3 linked regions of the Lepisosteus oculatus genome follow. The protein of the gene in region 1 purifies or fractionates together with the protein of each later gene. This does not show direct contact. Links are inferred from orthologs where the notes say so. Each region holds a gene or a part of one and is shown in the gene's direction. Other genes may lie near its edges.

What was found. The genes of interacting proteins can lie anywhere in the genome.
Region 2: the proteins of rnf111 (region 1) and smad2 purify together in Homo sapiens (affinity purification with western blotting, with the first as the bait; 3 studies listed by BioGRID). This does not show direct contact. The link is inferred for Lepisosteus oculatus from reciprocal best matches to the Homo sapiens genes RNF111 and SMAD2.
Region 3: the proteins of rnf111 (region 1) and skila purify together in Homo sapiens (affinity purification with western blotting; 3 studies listed by BioGRID). This does not show direct contact. The link is inferred for Lepisosteus oculatus from reciprocal best matches to the Homo sapiens genes RNF111 and SKIL.

The regions. Positions count from the first base shown.
Region 1 is NC_090700.1:46,404,585-46,411,610, forward strand, and holds the start of rnf111 (E3 ubiquitin-protein ligase Arkadia), read left to right. Parts: upstream 1-4,023; 5' UTR 4,024-4,453; intron 4,454-7,026. Other genes in the region: sltm (SAFB-like transcription modulator), read right to left, coding at 850-905, 1,040-1,127, 2,418-2,552. UniProt on the Homo sapiens protein: E3 ubiquitin-protein ligase. Required for mesoderm patterning during embryonic development. Acts as an enhancer of the transcriptional responses of the SMAD2/SMAD3 effectors, which are activated downstream of BMP.
Region 2 is NC_090698.1:17,846,489-17,853,677, reverse strand, and holds the start of smad2 (mothers against decapentaplegic homolog 2), read left to right. Parts: upstream 1-4,167; 5' UTR 4,168-4,186; intron 4,187-4,192; exon of another isoform or gene 4,193-4,594; 5' UTR 4,595-4,731; intron 4,732-7,189. UniProt on the Homo sapiens protein: Receptor-regulated SMAD (R-SMAD) that is an intracellular signal transducer and transcriptional modulator activated by TGF-beta (transforming growth factor) and activin type 1 receptor kinases.
Region 3 is NC_090708.1:13,841,503-13,849,138, reverse strand, and holds the start of skila (ski-like protein), read left to right. Parts: upstream 1-4,614; 5' UTR 4,615-4,912; intron 4,913-4,922; exon of another isoform or gene 4,923-5,029; intron 5,030-5,068; exon of another isoform or gene 5,069-5,523; intron 5,524-6,001; 5' UTR 6,002-6,129; intron 6,130-6,559; 5' UTR 6,560-6,712; coding exon 6,713-7,636. UniProt on the Homo sapiens protein: May have regulatory role in cell division or differentiation in response to extracellular signals.

The DNA.
Region 1 (7,026 bases):
CATACCCCAAAAAGGCTTACCAAAGTACTGGTATTCATACCCTTTAAACCTATATAAAAACCTATGTATGTCGTACAAAAGTTTTTGTTTTACTATTTTTGCATTTTACCGAGACCACTTACACATTCATCGCATTCTAGTTCTCCTTGTGGGAATACACATTGGTAGTACATTGGTTTTTCGTACATGAATAAAGTATTGCACTGTAATAAAATAGACTTTTATTCAATGTCTGTGATGAAATCTTTGTTCTGCATATGTACTTTAACAGTATTTTACATTAAACAGATTTTACAACGCATTTGTACTTTCATGTTTTCTATTTTTTTCTAGTTATAAGAATAAACCAAGCATGTCGGCTGAACTCACTACAGTTTTACATTATTGCGGGGAAAGTTCCATATTCTTGATTTTGCAAAACTCCCTTTAGCAGTTTGTCTGTTAAATCCAAAATCTATTAAGCGGAGAGTCAATTATGACCATTATAAGTAATCTTCTTTAACAGATATAATTCACCCTCACATCTAGTCAAAGCAAACAACCACTAACAGCCCTTTTACTCCTCTAGATTTTATGAGTGTGGTATAGCTATATCACAACTGGTTAAAAGGGTTATAAGAATATTGATTTAGTGAGCTCACACAAATGTAGAATAAACTGATTGTACCGGAACGCTGGACCAGTCAAGTTGATGTTGAAATTCTGGCAAAGGGATAATAGTGCCAACAGTTCTACCAACACCTGCTGATCATACCCTTGTCTGTGTGTAACTTGTGATATGCAAGATCCGACAAGATCAGTCCAATGTATTTGAAAGTTAAAAAAAAATTCAACAGTGATGATACGTACCTTGCAATAAGAATCTTCTTCCAGGTTTGCGTCCATGTCTGCATCCAGTTTTCTTCCTAAATGAAGAATTATATTCAGTGAACTTCACACACAAGTTTCTTGATTTCTAAAGTTAACAGATTCTCAAATTTAAATATTTTAATGTAGAAAGAAGAAGCCAGATGCGATTTCAACAACCACAACCATTTACCTTTTGACTTCGCATTCTTCCTTGTGGGGGTATCTGCGTTCAGTGGAATTTCGATATTATCGGAATCGCCACCTTCCTCTTCAATAGCCTGAAAAGTAAACATGACAATGATTCAGTATGAATAAATTGCACCCTCTCACAAATACCTGCAGAACACTACCAAATCACAATGCAACCCTTTAAAAAAAGGATTTTCAAGGAACAGGCAAAAGGGGGTCTCCTTATTGCAAATGCCGGGCAACAAAGTTTATTTATTTTAACCCCTTTGACCTCCGTGATAACGAGTAACAACTGCAGGACACCACCTCAAAACAGCCAAGGCACCAGCATACACAGAGGATACTGAGAAGAGATTAAGCCAAGCTGGCAGCAACAACTCACACCAATAAGACCAGTCTTTCCCTAAAAACCAAACCTCATAATAAATCTGCAGTTTCAAATACGCAAATCAAAATAATGTCTCCATTGTTGAACAACACAAGACACTTGATTTCTGTAACATCAAGTAACTGCATGCTGTACCTTCGCCAGTCCTTTAGGAATGACACCCCCATTTTCTTCTTTTACCACAATCTGGGACAGGGACGACATTCACTGCTGCGTCATACATACCAACACAGAACACCTAAAGGTGAATATCTGGCTTTAAATAACGCATCTGCAGTTATGTAGGACTATGGACGCCGAGAGTCCTGGGATCCTTATTGCAAAACCCGGGTTCGACTTCCCTAAGCGTGCTTGACTCAAATCGCTCCAGAATAGCTGTATACCCTCCACACCGTCATTATAAAGGACCTCGCCATTTCTTTACCTGGTTGATCAGGAAAAAAAACACTACCGAGTGTAAACGAAGCTATGTAGAAGTCGACCGTATAACAAAAAGGGACGTTCATTAAAACGAACTTGTACCTCGGCTCAATTTGCACCCCAGCATCCAATCAAACCTGGCTAGATGAGATAACCGGGCGTTTGTCTTCTTACTTAGGTTTTTCCAAAATTTAAGAAAGCCACACATTATCCGAAGGAAAAGGGGAATGTTTTTGTCAATATTATTGATCTCACTTGAAAACGACTATTAATTCATTCGCGCCTACCACTTACAGGTCTATTCTATAGTAATAAAACAGCCAATTTTTGCGCATATGAAGAATACACAAAGCTTTCTTATTGTCGTTCAATAGAGTATGACCGTATCGTTTTTATTATTTGCAAAACTCCACCGTGTTTCTATATCTACAGAAATTGGAAAGCGAAAGTGACAAACATCCACACACTTGATATCCAGCAACTAAGTATGCATGGTGGGAGGGGAAAACAAGGCCTTCTCTGCAGAAAAAAACACAACAAGATTTTAAGGCCGCTGATAATACAGGCTTACCTGCTTCAGCCTTGCAATTAAGACGTTCTTTACTCCCGTGATGTCCAAATTCCTCCGCTTTAACTCGGTTTTAAGGTCTATGACCCGTAATTCTGTGATTTTCTTAATCTCAGTGGCCACGGCTGCCGACGCCATTTTGCCAAACTGAATGAGAAAGGAAGGTGTTTATGGTTATGGAAACACCGCCAGTTCCCGGATGTTGACGACGCGTACAACGTGATGACGTAAGTATTTTTTTTCTGTAGGATTTGGTTAGAATTTCAGAAATGAATTTTGTCAACGTATTATTCCACTTTTGACCTCTGAAATCCGTGTTCACACAGTATATTAGAGAAAAGAAGGAAGAAAATAAATTAGGCAGTTTTGCGATTTATAATTAATAAAATGTATAGGTATGTTATGCTAGAAAATAGACCAACCTCATTCTTCGGATTATATAGACGTTTACTTTTAAAATAATTAAACATTATTAAATCGGATCTTAGAAAATCGTGAGACAAAAAAGTTTAAAAATAATAAGATTATTTAGAACGACTAAAATATGTGTAATGTTTTTTTTTAATAACAAAGCATCCAAATTGGAATAAGGTATTTCTAACATTTTGATAATTTGGTTACTACGTACTGAGGATATTCTAGCTTTTCTGGAGCACCCCTGTAAATCAGGTCCTATACTGTGACAGCGTGCACATCCCCAGCTCTTTGTCTAAAGATCTGTCACCTGTTTTCACGTCGAAATTCACTTATTCATACTGTACACTTGTGGTCTCCCCAATGCTTTTAATATTAAATATTAAAGAACATGCCTAACCAGAGCTGAATTAACTTGCTTGCAACATTAAATAAAGATAATCGGATGTGTCGCTTCTGTATCTCTATCATAAAGCAGTGTATGAATTCTTCGCATTCACAATTATATAATGTACAGTGGACAATTATTTTGGATATTTTAGTCAAAGATTTTAAAATCTGTGAAGACAATTTCCATTACAGTTTGCTTTTAAAGCCTTTGTCCGTCGACATTAGCATATTTCTGTACCAACATGTGTGGGCTTTTGGAATTGCGAAAACAAGTGGAAATTCTTATTACAGAGATATCGAAATGAAAGAGGCTTATGAAAGAAAGGTCACCTTTTGGTATATCGTGCTTTTTGGGTTATCAGCTTACACATACAAGATGTCCTAGTCCTAGTGGTCCAGCTTCGACAACGTGATTAGACAGATTTTCCAAATGTGAACTGTCTTTTTACAAAATCTATTCAAAAATGTGATTGTTGCTTTACAAAAATGTCACCAAATAAAATTATATATGTAAATTATATAATTAAGAAAATGTAGTTATTTCGGACGTAAATTTAATCTACCTACAAAAAATATTCAAGAAGTCCATATTCAGTATATAATACCAGCTTTCTATTTACATACAATCGTGTCGCTTATCTTACATTTGCATAGGTTCTAGTACAAAACACTTGCCACAAACGACCACTAGTGGGCACAGCGCCTCATGTTTCGAAGACCCCTTGCCCAGGAAAGGGCATGCCGTAAACAGCCTCTACAGTGTCGAAAAGTGTCGTGAAGCGTCCCTCGCTGAAGCGAGGCTCCGGGGGATTGTGCAGAAAACAGATCAGGCAAGCGCAGCTACGAAGAGGAGCTCGCCTGAATAAACAACAGCCCAAGCGAGGCAGGAATGACTGCTTTATCGAGGGCCCAAATGGCAAAAGGAAAGGTTTTCCGCCTTTCTCGAAACCTTAAATGAATCCCGGCCTCAGTTGATAGCCGGGGACTGGGCGGTTGAAGGAGAAAAAAGGCGAATTTAACTAGATCTCCCCCAGTTACAGTATCGGGGCCTTTGGGGCTGTTGTTGGGTTTGTGTTATCACTTTCACAACCAGGCGCTGCTGACGTCCGAGGGTTTCTCTACGCTATTTTATTTTCAGTGGGCTGCCCTCATTTTCAGGTCCTCGCTGAAGGTTTTCGTCAGAAACGGAATCCGTTGGAGAGCAGTGTCGAGTTTGGGGCCTGTTGGCGTGAAAGGTACGTTTTTATTTCTCCTTAACGTTCAGTAGTGGCAGTACTTGATCAGTACGACGAGCTATTTCGGATCAGAGTGCTAATTCAAATGGCTTCTGACTTCGCCTGGGGAAATGGAGAAGGGGGTGGGTGGGTATACGACTATTGAATAAACCGGATTCAGAATTAAACTCGTCTGAAAAGGAGAACCAGCGAGTTGAATTCCTGACTTGTGCCCTTTTATCGCCTTTTTTTGTGTGATAGTTTTAATTTAGAGTATTTTCATACGCAGTGCCCCTGCCCCCCTCCTTTTTCGGTTCGGGCTATTGACAGTGACAGATGGGAAATCTTGGGTAAGGCAGAACGTAGGTTTTTGTTGTGATGTGCTCGATGTTGCGTTGATAAATTGTTCACTTAGGCATGGTCGTTGAGCTTTAGACAATCATTTGGATGTTAAATGCTAATATACAATTGATTGCATTAATCCAAGCGAAATGTTTGTACACGGAGTTAGCTGGTCCGAGCTCGCTCTGGACATGTCCTGCCCCTTGCAACCCAGTTATTGTTCCTTTCTCCTTTAAGAGAGTAATACAGACAGTTAAAAATCCAGCGAGAAAAATGTCCCCACTTCTATAAGACAGTTTCGAATGTCATCTATAGTCTTGGCATTGTAAACTGCTCGGTGTGGAAAGCGTAGACACTAGCGTGTCCCATCGTGATATTTTAAAGAAATCGCCCTGCTCAATCTTCCCTTTTCGTTTCCACTTCTTCGTTCTAAAGCTAGTATTGAATTGTCTTTCCTTCAGCTTCGGCTATTGATCCTAAGTAATAGTCATATAACAATGGAAGAAAGCGCATGATCAAATACCGAAGTTTTAAAGAGGTGCAGAGCACGTTAACCTTCATTTTATCTCGTACAGTTCACGCCGAGATGTACTTGGTGCAGATCTGAAGCTTTTTATATTCGGCGCAATGTTTGTTTGTTTTTTTTAATGTGATTTGTGAAGAAAGTACCAAGTGAATCTTAGAACCGCCTGCATATCCACTGGGTGTGTGACTCTGAAGCCATTTCCTCTAAAAGAAATCGAGTAATACATTTTTTGTTCCGTTTCTCAACGTGAACATCTATGTTCTATCCCGTAGGAGAACTAAGTATAAAGTATACACCCATAAGGTACAAACAGACAGCGGCTGGCGGTGACTGGCTGCTCTGGGGAGCAGTGTGTGCAAGCTGGGACACACAGATACCCCAGGGCTTTCATTTTAACCACTTAGAAGCAAAGGTTTACGGCCAAAACTTGAAAAGTTTGTTTTCTCTTGTGTAACCTTTGCCTGTTAAGACCCCACTTTTCACATATTTGAAAAATTGCCCGGGAACCATACCTAGCAGAACAAATGTTGAGAATATATTCAGAGTATATAGGCCCTTACTTACATTTTGATCTTCCAGACTTAGTTTTAGTTTAATTATGATACAGATAGCTCTTTTATAAGTGAGCAATGACACAGTTGTTACGTTTTCTGTCATAGAGCAACCTTTTTCCAAATAATGTCTTCAGGGGCCCTGGATTCTTGCTTGTGTCATATGTGTGATGCTTTATTTTCTATTTTTAAACAGTTCAGTATTTTAATGTGGTCACTGGTATACCTATAGCTGTATCCAAGATTAGCACCTCTAGTTTATCTTGATGTATGTCAACAGTGCCTCTTCTATTTTAGAAACTTTAAATGTGGTTAGATAACACTCCTAGCAAAACAGGCTAAAGATGTCATCATGCATCACTATATTTAGCAAGGTGGAAAACGCAGAGAAAGAGAAAGTAGAGGGTGTATTATAATTTGTATCGTAACAGGTTCTGCATGTTCTTGCTTTGTGGCACCATTCACACTGGACGCTAACATTGGTGTTCACCAGAACCAGTGCCAGTTTCTCTCTTTGTACTGCTGTCTGGTGAAGGTGAAAAACATTACTAACACAAGGATTGCACTCTACCTGTTTACACACACTGCCAAAGCACCCTTCATAGCCTGTATGGAACCATAGGTGGTTTGTATCAAATATTTGTGCACTTGTCACAATAGGAGTTGGTGTTTGTTCTTGGTGTCACCTCCGTTGCAAAGCTTGGTCCAGCTAGAAGACACCATAAGGCAGGTCTGTGTACCTTGTGGTTTGAGGATCCCAGCTGTGTTAGAATTGAATTAATGGAAGAATGTAAAGAATATGAAATCAACAGCTTTGTAATTGGGGAAACTGGTGTTTATCTTATACAATGTCCATTTATCGATACTGTAAGCCGGATTTCATTAGTCAATTATGAATACACTAAATGGCATCATTAAGAGGAAGCCTATTTAGGATGAAGATCACCATTTGTTTATTATCTTGACCCTGAATTTCAGCATAAGTGAGTTAAGGCATGTGCTGAGTTTCTGTCCTCATCAGTACTTGGTTTTTCATTCTGGATCATTCTGGCAAGTCTCTTTACCACGCACATGTGAGCTCGCTGCAGTTGTGACTTGCGATATTTCTGCACACACAAAAAGTTCTTAGTCTTGCCAGGATCCCGAGTCTGAAAATGAATGGAGTGGTCTTGGCT
Region 2 (7,189 bases), on another chromosome or scaffold:
ACCACAACCGTTCTTCTTATTCCCCTCAAAAACTAACCATTGAGATTTTATACAAGTCTTAATTACACATGGATGTTGCCTCTAAGGCAGATGACATTCCACATGCTAACCAGTAATAAGATGTTTACCATAAGGCCAAAATTAATTTTCAGATAAAGACGCATAATGGCGCCATCTGGTGTTCAGCATCGGCATTAACGCAGTTTGCAACTGTTTCCAACTCGGTACAACGAAACACGAAAAAGCACCTAAGCCCCAAAACTTAATTTTTGATCATCTCTGATCTACCAACTATATACCTTCTGTATGCTTGAAAGTCCTTGTTACAGAAGTGGTCACAGGCAACTCTTTACAGGTCTTTTTCCTGACATACCGAAAGTATATCTAACAACTACAAAGCCTATGAAATATAACTAAGGATGAAAATAATAATACTAATAATTGCTTACTATACCGCTTTTCTGGACATTCCACTCAAAGCGCTTTACAGGTAATGGGGATTCCCCTCCACCACCACCAATGTGCAGAATCCACCTGGATGATGCGGAGGCAGCCATAGTGCGCCAGAACACTCCCCACACATCAGCTATCAATGGGGAGGAGAGCAGAGTAATGAAGCCTATTTATAGATGGGGATTGGTAAGGGCGAATGGGAACTCTGGCCAGGACACCGGGGTTATACCCCTACTCTTTTCAAGAAACACCCTGGGATTTTTAATGACTACAAAGAGTCAAGACCTTGGTTTTACCTCTCATCTGAAGGACAGCACCTTTTTTACAGTATAGTGTCCCCGTCACTACACTGGGGCATTAGGACCCACACAGACTGCAGGGTGAGTGTCCCTACTAGCCCCACTAACACCTCTTCCGAGCAGCAATCTTAGTTTTTCCCAGGAGGTCTCCCATCCAGGTACTAACCAGGTTCACACCTGCTCAGCTTCAGTGGGTTGCCAGTTGTGAGTCACAGGGTGATACGGCTGCTGACAGTATACTACTGACTGAATAAAACACATATCACACAGGATATTTGGAAACCGGAACTAGAGAGCCATAGAAAATATGAAAAAATGTTTCACATATCCTTATGTTTTAATTAACTGTTTTAATTAAGAAATGAATGGATCAATACTTACAAGATGACACGTGCCTTGAGGAGGAATTAGTGCCTATGGATAACAACAAAAACACTCACCACTGGCTGTGTCACATTCAGGTTTAACACCACGTGTCTCTGGGATAGCTGTTGTAATGATTGAATTGATCAATAGGATCCTGAAATGTTTGGCCTGATATTGTGGATACTGTTTATATATAACTGATCTTATACAGAATTAGGGACATCCTTCTTCACCCTATACATTTTAACAAGGAGGCTGATAATAAGTCACTGTCCCAGTAAAATTAAAGTGGACCCCGACTTAGAATTTTCCTTATCAAAAAACTTTTGAGTGGTCAAATCTAAATGTGCATTTTGAGGCTGTAAGCTGGAAGGCATGCAGTACCATCAGCAGTTTGAGCTCATGGTGCCATTGTCACCACAGAGACACCCTAAGCTTTGACTTCCCTCAAAGGCCACATTCCAGAATGTTAAATGAACCTCTTTTAAACCAGCTACTGTTCTGAAGACCCAGGAAAAGTGTTCAATTATCTCAATGGGCTTAGAGATCAGGCTGAATGAAACCCAGTAGGGCCACACCTATCCATCGCTGGGGTTAAAGGCAAGTTCAGAGCTGAGGCTTCTGTACTTAAGTAGTGTCAAATGGAGTTGGATGTACAACAGGGCTTCCAGTATCAGGAACATCCCCAGGGCCCAAGGCCAGGGAAAACAAGAAATTAAATTAAAATATACTGAGGCTGCAGAAAATTAAGAACATTATTTTTCTTCCATGAATGGGCTTCTATTTTTTATCCAAATTAGCTGTCTTCCTACAAACTATTCAGTTTAATTGGATATCTACTAAGAAGGACTAGAGTAACACTTTTTTACAGTACTTAAGTGGTTCGAAAGGTCCCCCTGAGAACAGCACTTACATAACAGTGCTCCGGAGTGCTATTAGTGTTGTTTTTCAGTTCTAAGCATTATAAAAATAGAAATAATTATCTTAATGGTGCAATTTATACAACTGCACTTTTCTTCTTGGTTCTTTTCTCACCAATTGAGCTTCCTTTGTGCTTTGCAAGATTTTTTTTCGTTTACATTCCTGTTTTGTTATTCTCTGTTTTGCAGGTAGAGTCACAGGGAAAAATAAAATACAGAACTTTAATAGCATTGTATCAAACTTTTTCCAACAACAGTCTCTTTTTGACAACAGTGTATTCAACATAAAATATAAAAATCCAGCATCCCGAAGACAGCAAAATGTTTTTTTTTATTTCTGACACTCATATGACCTCCTGTCACTTTATACTCAACACAGACTATATTCAGCCACAGCTAGAGTGCGCAGTGTGTTTCCGTCTGTCTCTACAATGTTCAAATCTTTTTAAATCTGTTTCCCTTGTTTCTTTCCCAAGTTGGCAAAAAGCTACACTCACCAACAGCCACCTGCTAGAATTACATAGCTGTACCGATGCCTGAAAATAAAAAAGTTAGTTCCACTATCAAATTCCTTCTTTTTTTTCACAAAAGCTATCAAAACATTAATCGGGCATCTAGTCTCAGCCACAGGACTGCATGGAAGGTGCTAAAAGAGAAGATAGATTTTATAGAAGCTTATTTTAACGTCCCTTTGCTTTGCTCTTGGGGAATTAATACCAATAATTCATTATTTCTCGCAGGACAGTCGTTCACACAATAACTTTGGCCTCTGCAAGCTGCTTTGGATAAAGGTGGATCTACACGCTGATCCTAAGGAGATGCTGCTTTTCAGTTTCGAGTGAAGAATACAACAAAAGGAACAGAAATACCTTTCGGGCCCCGATACTATCTAGAAAGATACAGTCTCTCAAAGTGCTCCGTCTCAGCTCTTCTATGAGTGTCTCTCGGAACAAGAAAAAAAGGTAAAAAGCAGAATTCATACATTTTCTACACAGCCTGTTGCAGCATATTTAGATTTGCACGAAAGTTTGATTACTTCGTTTTACTTCATTGTAAAGCCTCGTTAATTTTTGGGTTACCATATATATTTTTGGAAAGCGATGACATATTACTTGATTGACTTTTTTACCATCGGTTCGGTTATTAAAAATGAGCGGAAAATATTTGAATTATTCTGTTATTAGGTATCGTAAAGCTAAGGAGCTGGATTTCCTAACATACAAGTGCCCAACTTAGTTAACCTGACCTGCAGCGTTTCTGGTGTAATGCAAAATCAAATGTATAGAAAAGTAAAAGTTCTTTATGTAACTATGGCGATATGAAACCGCTTTTGTCATTATGTATTACATTTTGTTTTTTATACTTAAAACATAATTCATCTGACAATTTTAAGATTTGTCAACATGCTGTTCTTAAACCCACAGCAACGCAAATGAAAACACGTAGAAAAACTAAGGTCAATTTCAACAGTACCTTGTTTACCAATAGTTTGCATGTATAAATCCATCTAAAAAGGTGCCACATGTTTTTGGACAGTGATTGTGCACGGGGTTATGTGATGAATTATGTAACTACTGCAGCACAGAACCAACAATAAATATTTCAGTCCTGCCATGACACCACACAAGACTTCAGCCTTTCTCCATAACGCATAATCCACGCGCACGTGTCCTCCCTCTTTCTTACTAAAACTTCCACATCCTGAAAGAGAGCTCTACTTTGTCTTCATCTGCTTTGGCGGAGGAACACAATAGCGGTACAGCAACACAAATGTTTTGAGACGATTCAGCTAACGCACCAGCCTCCTAATCCCCACCCCTCCTCTGAGCCAAATCTATTATGAAGTCATTTGATTGACAGTAGAATTCCCAATTGAATCTCTGGATGTAATCTAGACGCTCTATTGACAGAGCGTTTCGGCGAATAAAAATATATATGGGGTGTACGTAACTATTAGTTCCTGCTTGCGCATGACGATGTATGGTTGACACTTCCTTTAACCAATCGCGAGCATGATGTATTCTGAGCTACGCTCTTCGATCTACACTACCACCCAATAGGAGGTTAAAAGGCGGGTTTAATCTCGGGAAGCTGTCGCGTAGCTAACCGTGGGGATAGATAGGTTGTTGAGTGCGAGGCCGTTCGTCTGTGAGTGTGTCGGGGCGACTGGGGGAGAAGGGGGAAAAAACTCGCTGGAAAAAATAATTTATAGATCTGTAAAAAAAAATATTTAAAGCAAACGTTATTTTAATTAATCGTTTGAGCCTCTAGTCCCCTTTCGCATGATACTGCTTGAAAGGAAGTAAGAGTATTTTGCTTGAGATAAAGAAGGGCGGGTTGGAAACATGTTTTAAAATCCTGTTTATTTTTCTGTCACCTAAAGTAACCCTAAATATTCCCCGGGATTTTAATTCGCTGGCTAGCCTGAAAACGGAAAAAAACCCCGCTGACAGCCTGCCGAATATGAACTGAGATTCCTGCCAGGGATATAGCCTTATCTGGTTGTTTTGTGGATAAACATCGGCGACGATCCTGGGTTTTATTGTTTCATTGTAGCTCAGTTAGTGGCTGCGGGGTCGCTGGGCTGCATCGGACAGCCCGTGCAAGATCAAGATTTTCGTCAGCGGCTTCAGCACTTCAGCAAAGTGGAACCTGAGCGTTGATCAGCAACACTGTACTTAAAATCTTTCGAGGTGAGTTTTTTTCAGTGTGTGTGTGTGTGTTTTCTCCTAGCAGTCCATGGATTGTTAGTGCAGCGATGTTAGCTGATGTACTTTAGCGACGGCCTGGCCTGTGTTGCATGCTCGATGTGATACTTTTTCGATCTGTTTCGCTTCACTTGAGATGTAACTGTAGTTGGGGCTTTTTTGTTTCTTGGAAATCCGCCCAGAGACCGGTTCTCTTATTTTTTTCCAAGGTATTTTTGGTTTTCGAAGTCCATGCTCGGGGCTTTGGCTTTGTGAATATGTGACGATGGGTGTTACGTAACGGCAATTGTTGCTGAAAAATTGTGTGGGGGAGAGAGATGGGCAAAAACTTTTCACGTATTTTGATTCCCTGGAGCTGTCTTCGTATTTCTGTATCTGGTAAGGAGCCCTAGGGTACTTTAGTGTCCATAAGCGAGGGCAATCAGTTTTTGCAAGTTTGTTCATTTAATCGATCAGATGGAGTATCTTAATTTTAAAACATTTAGATCACAAAATCCTGATCTAATGATCATGAAGTGATTTCAGTCTTTTAGTTTGGATGACTTGTCATCTTTACTTGTGAGGTAAAAAGGGCTATATTAAGTTCAACGAGATTCCTCAGGTGTCGATTAGGACTAGCTTCCAGTACCGGAAAATGGTACAGAAACATTTTGTAGGGCGTGAATGTGAGGATTTCTTTGTTCATAACTCGCGAATTCTGTTTTTTTTTTCGAGTGCATTTAATTTTAGGCTTTGTAATTTGGTAACTTCGAATATGTAACACATATAATCGAATATGTAATGCCCATGTTTGCAAGCCCTAGGTGAAAACGATTGCGCACGTCTTTTGTACACAGGCTTGGGGTTGTCACTTACCTCTCAAAAGTTTAAATAAAGCTGTAGAGGCTGGCTGAGATATTTTATCAACGTTTCTTAAAATACATTTCTTTTTAAATTCTTTCTCGATGGCTTCTGTTTGGAAAATAGTTTGATTAGCTTCGCCCACATTAAATTAGTGGGGTATCTTGTTTTTAACACTTAACAGTGCGACGCCTTTTGGGTTTGGTTGAAGGTTTCACGTCTTGTAAAATTTAAAATAATATGTTTATGCTACAATTCCTATGATGCGCTTGCTTCTTCACCATATTTTTACGTTTATTACTCATTGTCTTCCTTTGCAGCCGCCGCAGAAATCGATTCTTATAAGTGCTGCCTGAAATCGTTTTTGTGACAAGATTTTCGGCTTTAAATAACAGTCTCTTAACGTACTGGATTATTCTTGCTCTCTCTTGAAGTCTTTTTGCTTTCTACTTTAACTCCACACGTCAGAAGAAAAAAACACTGCAATGCAAAGTGTCAACTTCAGTCTGTGTTTGAAATAACCATAGTGAAAGTTAAAGGCACGTTTATTACCATTTCTGTATACACTACCGCATGTGCAAAGAGGTGGAAATCCCATTATAATGCTGGAAAACATTTTGATGCATATTTTTTAAACGATTAAAAAATTCTCAATTTGGATTTTTTTGTGGTGGTGGGGGTGGTTGTCATCTGTCCCTGATAAAGTGTTGCCCGTTAATTTATGAGTTCAGATAGTTGGTTTTCCTAAAATTGGTGTCTAGTATTGTAAATCCTTCTGTAATGATTTGTGTGGATTTGAAGTGAAGTGACTGTTCCCAGTCCAGCACTTCCAGGGGTCTCTTTAGAAACTGCTGAACTGGAAGTGATTGTTTTGCTGAACGGAAAAATTTTGATATCGCCATAATCATCAATATTTGTTGCCTTCAAACTCTTAATAGTAATTAAAGGTGGGTTCTAGAAATTGATGCCCATTAGCAAGTGTTGCAGCAGCTGTTTAATTAATGTGCTTGAGTCTCTCACATCTTTGGTTGAGGTGTGCTCACTTTTAAGTTGTCATGTTCCATGATTGTTGCTGGAAAGGATCCATGATGATGTCTGCACGACATCAAATCTTGTCTTTCGTACAATATTTCTTTCTGCTGACTGCTAAGTACTTAACTGTTCATAACGGCTAGGATGTTGTGGTTTACATCATGCTCTAGTACAGTATGTATGGTAAAAACGTCTGGGGATCGTTTACACAAGGGGGGAATGAGTTGAATATGAAAAAGAGTGCTTTTGTGAACACCGACAACATAGCCTTTTTATTAATGATTAGGCCTACCTGTTATATAGTCAGCATAACAAACTCTAAACAATTTGAGTCTTTCTGTTTGCAGTTTCTAACAGTGTAAGTTTACAAGGCATGTATTAGACAGTTTCTTTATAATAAGTGCATGAAGCATTCGCTTAATGTTGGCTTGAGTGTACTTATTTCTGCATTTATACTTTTTTCAACCTCTCAAATCGGCCAAGTAAAAAAAAACCAAACCTTTTCTGTTGCAGGCCTTCATCCTGAAAATGCCTGTGTTTTATTAATAAGGAGTCATTAGTGCATTGTATG
Region 3 (7,636 bases), on another chromosome or scaffold:
ATTAAATGAAAAAGTACATTATACAAAAGCAATGTATCTGTTTTTTTTTATCAAAGTGAAAATGAATAACAGATATTTGTATGTCCTCCAGGAAACTGGTAGAAAGACAGGTAATGGGGAAAGTGGGCATCTCCGTAGAAACCAAAACCGCAATGGCCATGGCTTATGATGATCTGAGTAATAAATTAATGCATCAATATGTTTTTGTATGTCTGTAAATTAGGCTGTGGAAATGGTGCTGTACAATATCATCAATGCCAAATACATTTTTTTTGCTTCCTTAAAAGCATCAAGTTTGTTTTGTTTTTTTGGCCTCTGTGCCATTTTAAATTGAAAACACTTGTTAAGGGGTGAATTGTAAGTATTCAACGCAGGAGGCATCTTTGCTGTTTGATCTATTCAAAATAGTGTTAAAGAATGAAGAAAGTCTAGTTTGCACATTTATGTTGCTGCTGTATAAGACTAAGTACCAAGGCTTTATCTTTTACCACTATACCTCTTTCATTCTCATTGACATGCCCTGAATTCTAAATCATTAAGGTGAGGAAACAAAATACTTTTCAAGTCACCTTCCCTGCATGATAACAAGTTCTGATTTTTTCCCCATGAGTATATCTCACAGTGATTTCCAGTGCCCTTTTTCATTATACCTTTGCATTTCTAATAGCAATGTTCTTGTGAAATAAGTGTGATATACTGTACATCACTATGTTAAGAACAAAATTGAACCACTACAATATTCTGTATTTAAAAAAAGGCAGTTCTGAATGTAGAACTTCAAGGGAGCTATCTCATACCCTGGAGAGCTGTGGCAGATAATTGACAAATTGGGGGTTTCTACTGTTATTCAAAGTAGCGGTAGATATGAAGTTAGATGGTGATGGATTCTCAGGACCTGTAACATAGGCCATTCCAGCCGCAGAGCCAGAACGGCACAGGTAAAATGTCAGATTACCCCCAGATAACAAATTAACAAATATCCTTACTTCCACAATTCTGCACTTCATGTTTATCAGCAGTCTCATGACAAAGGTGCTCAGAGGCTGGATGGGCAGAGCTCTTTAATGAGCCACAGCAGTTAACACAGGTTGGATAAAGTATAATTCAGACATTGAACATTTGGGTGATGAGGGGCAGATGGAAAACCGACCTTTCCTGTGACCCATCTAGCAAATGTCTCTGACTCCTCACAAAACAATCACCAGCCACAAAACCTGTATAACCTTGAGGGTCTGTGTTAATGATCTGAAGGGCAGAAGATCTGAACACACTCACTCTTTAATTGCAGAAGTCTATCTGGAGGTGGTACCCTTAGAGGATTAATTAAGCATTCAAACAAACTCGCGTCTTCCTGGTGAAAATCCATTGCATGCCAAGGAGTATGGATGGGGTAAAACATTGATTTACTATGCATATTAATTACAGTTCAGTAAGGTTTCCAACATTTTTTATTATGTATTCTCAATCCGTGGTTAAAGCTTTGTCATTTTTAAAAATGTTACCATTATTTGCTTCCATTTATATTGCATAAAAGCTCGATTTGGCAACAGTATTATTCATAATTTATTTGTAACGTTCCTACATGGACACGTACTACTTCATCTTCAAGTGACAGTACAGTAGGTTACTACCTTGAAAACTGTTCTTGTAAGAAAGAAACACGATTTGAATACAAAATATTTAAAAATAAAATAAAAGGCCAGTTTTTGTTATTTTAAACCCACTTTGCCATTACCAATTTTCATTACCATCTTTTCAAATATACACAATTTATGTTTGCTATCCCATAACATGTATATACGACACTTGATAAAAGTCACTTTTTGAGGGTGCAATTAGAGTCTCGGAGGAGCCAATGGCAATAAAATTAAAATCACCGACTAATAATTTGCAGTGACCAGCCTGAACTAAGATTTATTTTGATAAAGAAAACTGCTTGTATTTTTTTTCTTCCCTTTAACACAAACGTTTCGGGATAGTACATTGTCATTAACAATTTCCTTTTAAATAGAAGACAGGAAGTTCTTCGGCGCCAGGATTTAAAACGGGGATTCCCAAAATCCGTTGAGTATAACGAAATCCATGACGCGGTTTTTACACTTGACAGAATTTTGGAGTCGCATACCCGTAAGTTGGTCTTGATAAGTAAATCGCTGTATGACACGGTTTTTAAATATTTAAACCAGAACATTCATGCTGTTTAAGTCAGTTTTATATTTAAAACTCCTGCCCAAGCCACCAAACCGTGAATCACTATTGCTGGAAGCAAACTCAACATTCCTTAATTTTGTCCTTCACACAGCACATAGTAACACTGCCCATAGCAAGGTTGTGAGTCACAAAGATTTAAAGTTTTTCAGACTGAGTAATTTGAAAATCTAGATCTGTATAGAGGAGAGGCCAGGGTCACATAGAAGCGAATAGCTAAGTATTATGAATCATTTTTCTTAGGAATAGTTAATGGTAAACAATATCGTCGCTTGCAGACGATAAAATATTTGTCAGACAACAGCGACAAATTTTTGTGCGCATGTTCCCAGGCCTTTGAGGCAAAAATCTAATATTTCATAAACAATTATTTTATTTTCGCACCACAAAAGTATTACGCTGTATACCCAGTCGTGAACCTTGTGGAATGATTTATTCTGCAACCGTGCTTGATCAATTACGGTAAGTACTAGCTATTCGAAAAGACAATTCATTCGAATAAAAAAAAGATCTGTGTTGATTTCTGGTGAGTAAAACAGACATTTTCCAGTATCTCTGAATTGTAACGAGTCCATAATACTGTTGCTCCCACTATTTTATGTACAGTGTATATTCTAACAGGGCCCCCTTGAAAAGGACATGGTGCAACTCAAGGGGTTTTATCCTGTCAATAAACTTTGATTTTATAGTGGAGATGAAGTAAGCTCTCAAACACAACTGTTTTTTTTATGTTTAGCTAATGCACAACACGTATGTTTCATTAGACATTTTTACATATCTATGTGTTCTGAACACTTCTTCACAGTTTCCCATTTTCCTTTCAAACGTTGTTTCTGCCTGCCTTTTCTTGAACAGTCAAAGCCTTATTTGTATCAAGGTTCCGTGAGAACAGAAGTCGGACATAAATTAAAATTATACATTTGCGTTTTTTCATCGGTGAAGACAAGAAGCTTTCTCAAGCAAAAAATTGCCATCACCTACTGGGAATTTATTTTTTACATCTGGTTGGTGGATACAGTACACCCTTAGATTTGACCCTGCTCACATTCTGAAAAAGAATTGTGTGGATGAGACACGGGTGTATTATCAGCGTTGAATTGACTTTTTTGTTTATTTTTTTTCTAATTACTAGGAATATGTAAATTCACATTAACATTCACGAACCTCTGGTTTTGGTCTTTTCTCGGTTAAACTCTTCACCGATGCACACACCAAAAACGCCTTGCCATTTCATCTGCCAAAGTAAATAATATAATGTTAATATTCTAACAACACTCAATTCACTGAGCACTGACCTTGACAGAGGGAAATGTAATATCCCTTAATTGTCTAGGCACCAGATGAGATCTGACACAGTCCATGAATAATAAATCGTTGCAAATATGCACTAATGCTTCCTGCTAGGAGTTCATATCGTAAATATGTATGTATATTGAAAGTAACTTAGTGTGTATTAAGTCCGTTCTAAGAAGGATGTCATCAGAAGCAGTGAAAATAAAACTATCACCTGATGTAATGAAATATGTTGTACATGTTTTATTCTTCAGACACTTCAGACATCTCTCGTAATGTAATGCGCTGTGTCCGGCTCTTTAGCTGGAAGCGTTATATTTTGCCTGAAATGGCAAGAGGAGTAGTGTTTTTTACCGTTTTATTTCCTGGAAACAGGCAATCTCTTGACATCTAAAGCAGAAAGTTACACGAATACTACATATCTGTCACCACAGTGAACTGTTCCGTGTCTGGAGTTTCCGTGGGAACAGAGTAGGCTGCAGTTAAACACACATTTGACCAGATTTAGATTTAAGTAAGCCTTAAGTAAGGCTTTTAGTTTTGTTCCGAGAATTTTTTTTCATGTCAGAAAAACAGAACTCTTTTGTCGTTTACAATTTTAGATCAATATGCCGATAAACTGAAATTGTTGATTATTACAATAGTACTATCACGTAATATACATTATAAACCTTGAGATTTAAATGTCTCCTTGACAATAATTTAATACGTATTTCTACAGTGATTTTAATCGCCCTGCTCTACAATGGTAAACTGACCGTGTATGGAAGGACGATTACAGTCAAATTATGCATAAAGATATATATATATAGTTCATCATTAAACAGTTTACACTGAGACAATCGGTACGGGTTGAAAGACAATTAAATGCAGATATTCATATAATTGAGACAAAGGAAATAAAATACGAAAAAGAAAGAAAAAAATCAAAGAAACGGGACTTCAATGGAGATTTGTCTGTGTGAGAAGGGGAGTTAGCGTTTCCTGAGACTTTTCTGTCGAGAACATTTTCTTCTTTCCGTTTCAAGTAACGCGTTTGTCGTAGCAACCGAAACGGCACCATCGCCTCAGGCGTCAACGGAGTTACAGGCGGCTGGTGGTGACATCGCAGGCTGGGCCGTGTGCCCGACTGCAGAAACAAACACAAGCCCAGACTGCGAGACAGACACCCACGTCTCGTTTTTCCGTGACAAGCCCGTGTGCTCCGAGCAGCCGGGTGACGTAGCCTGTTGGGTTGTGGAGTGACGTGGTGAGTCTGTGTGTAGTGATGTGTCTGGCTGCTTGCATTTTGTTGACGGTCGGGCACGGAGCGAGGGGACACGGAGAAGAGGAGGGAGGAGAGGCGAGAGAGGTGGATTTTTTTCACACACAAAAAAGAAGGTTACACGCGGGCGACCAGGATTTACACACGGTAATTAGTCACTGTCACCGGGCCTCTGTACCACTCCCCTCCACGAAAAGAAAATCGCACGTTTACCCTGTAAACAGCATGCTGTACTGTACTGATGGCAAGGTATGGGAGCTGAAGGTGTGTAGCTAGCGAGTGAATTGACCAGTTTGCACTGGGGCGATACAGTTTTATTGCACGCATGCTATCAAGGGAGGTCGCTTCGCTGACGCTGTTAATTTGTTTTGGGTTGCTGTTCTTAGCCACACACACACACCAAAAAAAAAAAAATATTGCGTTTAAAAAAACACGAAATAAAAGTAGCAACTGAAGCACAGTAAGGTATTTCCCCTCTGTATCGGGGTATCTGTTAGCTAAGTATTATTTCTAAAACGCGTTTTCTGGTCGACGAGTGCAATTCTGATTATTCAAGGATTGCCCTTCCTCTGTTCGGGGATATACTCGGTTTAGGACGGGGGCACCAAGGGTTTGGCTGTGCGGTAGCGTGTGTGTGGGGGGTGGGGGTGAGAGGCAGGAAGAGAGTCCCGTGAAAGGTGTACGATACAGTGAATGTCATGAACACTACACAGGCGAGCCGGTGGCACAACATAGTGGAGGAAATAAAGGAAAGAGAGGTAGGTGGGGAGAAAAGCGAGTGAGTGAGAGTCGTGTGTACGCTGTCCTTGCTAGGAAAGGAGGGAGGGGGGGGGGGGGGTGCACCCGGAGCAGAGTAACGAAATGTCAAGATACAGCAGCCGCCACAACAACGCTGAGCGCTGCGCTTGAAAACCATCGGTGTCCGAGCACACTGCAGAGCGGACAGGGGGACCGGGCGGAGCGGTGACTATCCGCTAGGAGGAGAAAGCGGCGTTTGGGCGAATTTGGGACGAACCGTTAAGATATCGGGTGAACCAGCGTACTGTGCCGTTTAGTCATCAGCCAGCCCTTGTGGACGCGGCATCACCGCGACTAGCTCACGCTGAAACATCGGCCGGGACTCGAGGGGTAGCCTGCTTCTGGTCGACTGAATTGGGGATTCACTCTGCCGCACGGACTGTCGTTGTTATTGCGCTACAGTGGATACATGTTTGTTTTTTTTTACCTCGATTGCAGCTTTATACTTTGCTCTACATCCGAACCATCTGGTGCATATCGGAGAAGGTCAATGCTGTCGGCGGTGCTTCAGTTGAACCTGACTGGATCTAAGCGGAACTGAGACGATACTGGAATTCAAGGCTTGTGTAAGTTAGACATCTTCATCCTTTACCTTTGAGAGAATTTTTAGTTGGGTCATAATTTGTATCTATTTATTTTTTCTTTACCTGTATCATATGATCTGTATAACACTCCCCCTTCTGTTACTTTGAGCATTTAAACGCCACTGTCTAATTTAAGAAACTTATTTTATTATTGTATGTTTTGTAATTCCATACATATTGGACCCTGTCACGTCTCATTAGAAACTGTGGTTCTGTACGCACCAGTCTGTAAAAGACTGCATTTTTCCTAATAAGTGCAAATATACCTGGTTGTTCTTTTAATATGGAGAAGAGCTTGAAATAAGATTTATACCAACATGTAAGACACAGGCTGAAAAGAATGTCTGGTGTAACATTTTGTATTATGCCTAAAAGGATTAAGATGACTGTTCTTCTTGGTTGTTTTTTTTAGGATTAGTATACAAGTGTGCAGTCCATCACAAACATGTATGTAAAAGGAAAGATGATAATCTACGATTGCCGTGAATGTTAAGGAGCACATCCTTTCAGGAACAAAAAATAAAGACACACGCCAACAATAACAACAAAAACTCAAAGGAAAGGCATGGCTGGCACGCCGACCACTTTGAAACACACTTTAAAAGACGTGGCCTTACTCAAAGGAAGCATGAAGCGGCTGTGCAGAGAGAGACTGGAAGACGCCCCTATTAAAAAGAGGGTGGTGGCAGAAATACATCTGAAACGCCGGACTCTGGAAGGAGTCCCCAGAATGCCAAAAGTCAAGCAGGAACACACGGAGGACCCCGGGGAAGCAGCTGTCTGCGAGAGGGAGAGACAGGGCAGGCAGCTGCCCGTTCCACCATCAAAGGCCCTGGACCTCAGTCCGGGCCTCAAGCACACGCTGGCCCAGTTCCACCTCAGCAGCCAGAGCTCCCTGGGTGGGCCAGCTGCGTTTTCTGCACGCAACCCCCAGGAGTCGCCCAGTGTCTTTGTCCCCCTTCCTTCTCCGCCAGCGTTGCCTGGCCCGCTCCTGATCCCCTGTGACAGTTCCACCGAGCTCACTCACTCTCTGCTGGAGGGCGAGTCCATCTCTTGCTTCGTGGTGGGCGGCGAGAAGAGGCTGTGTCTCCCGCAGGTGCTCAATTCCGTCCTGCGGGACTTCTCCCTCCAGCAGATCAACCTGGTCTGCGACGAGCTGTACATCTACTGCTCCCGCTGCAACGCCGACCAGCTGCACATCCTGAAGGTGCTGGGCATCCTGCCTTTCAACGCGCCCTCCTGCGGCCTGATCACGCTGACGGACGCCCAGAGACTGTGCAACGCCCTGTTGCGCCCCGGCGCGCCCCTGCAGGGCTCCTGCAAGCTGGGGGGCAAGGCCCTGCCGGAGGAGGGCGAGGGCAGCTTCGCGGTGGAGCACGAGTGCCTGGGGAAGTGCCGGGGCCTGTTTGTGCCGCGGTTCTACACTCAGCCCGACGCGCCGTGCATCCAGTGCGCCGAGTGCCAGCTGATGTTCTCGCCGCAGAAGTTT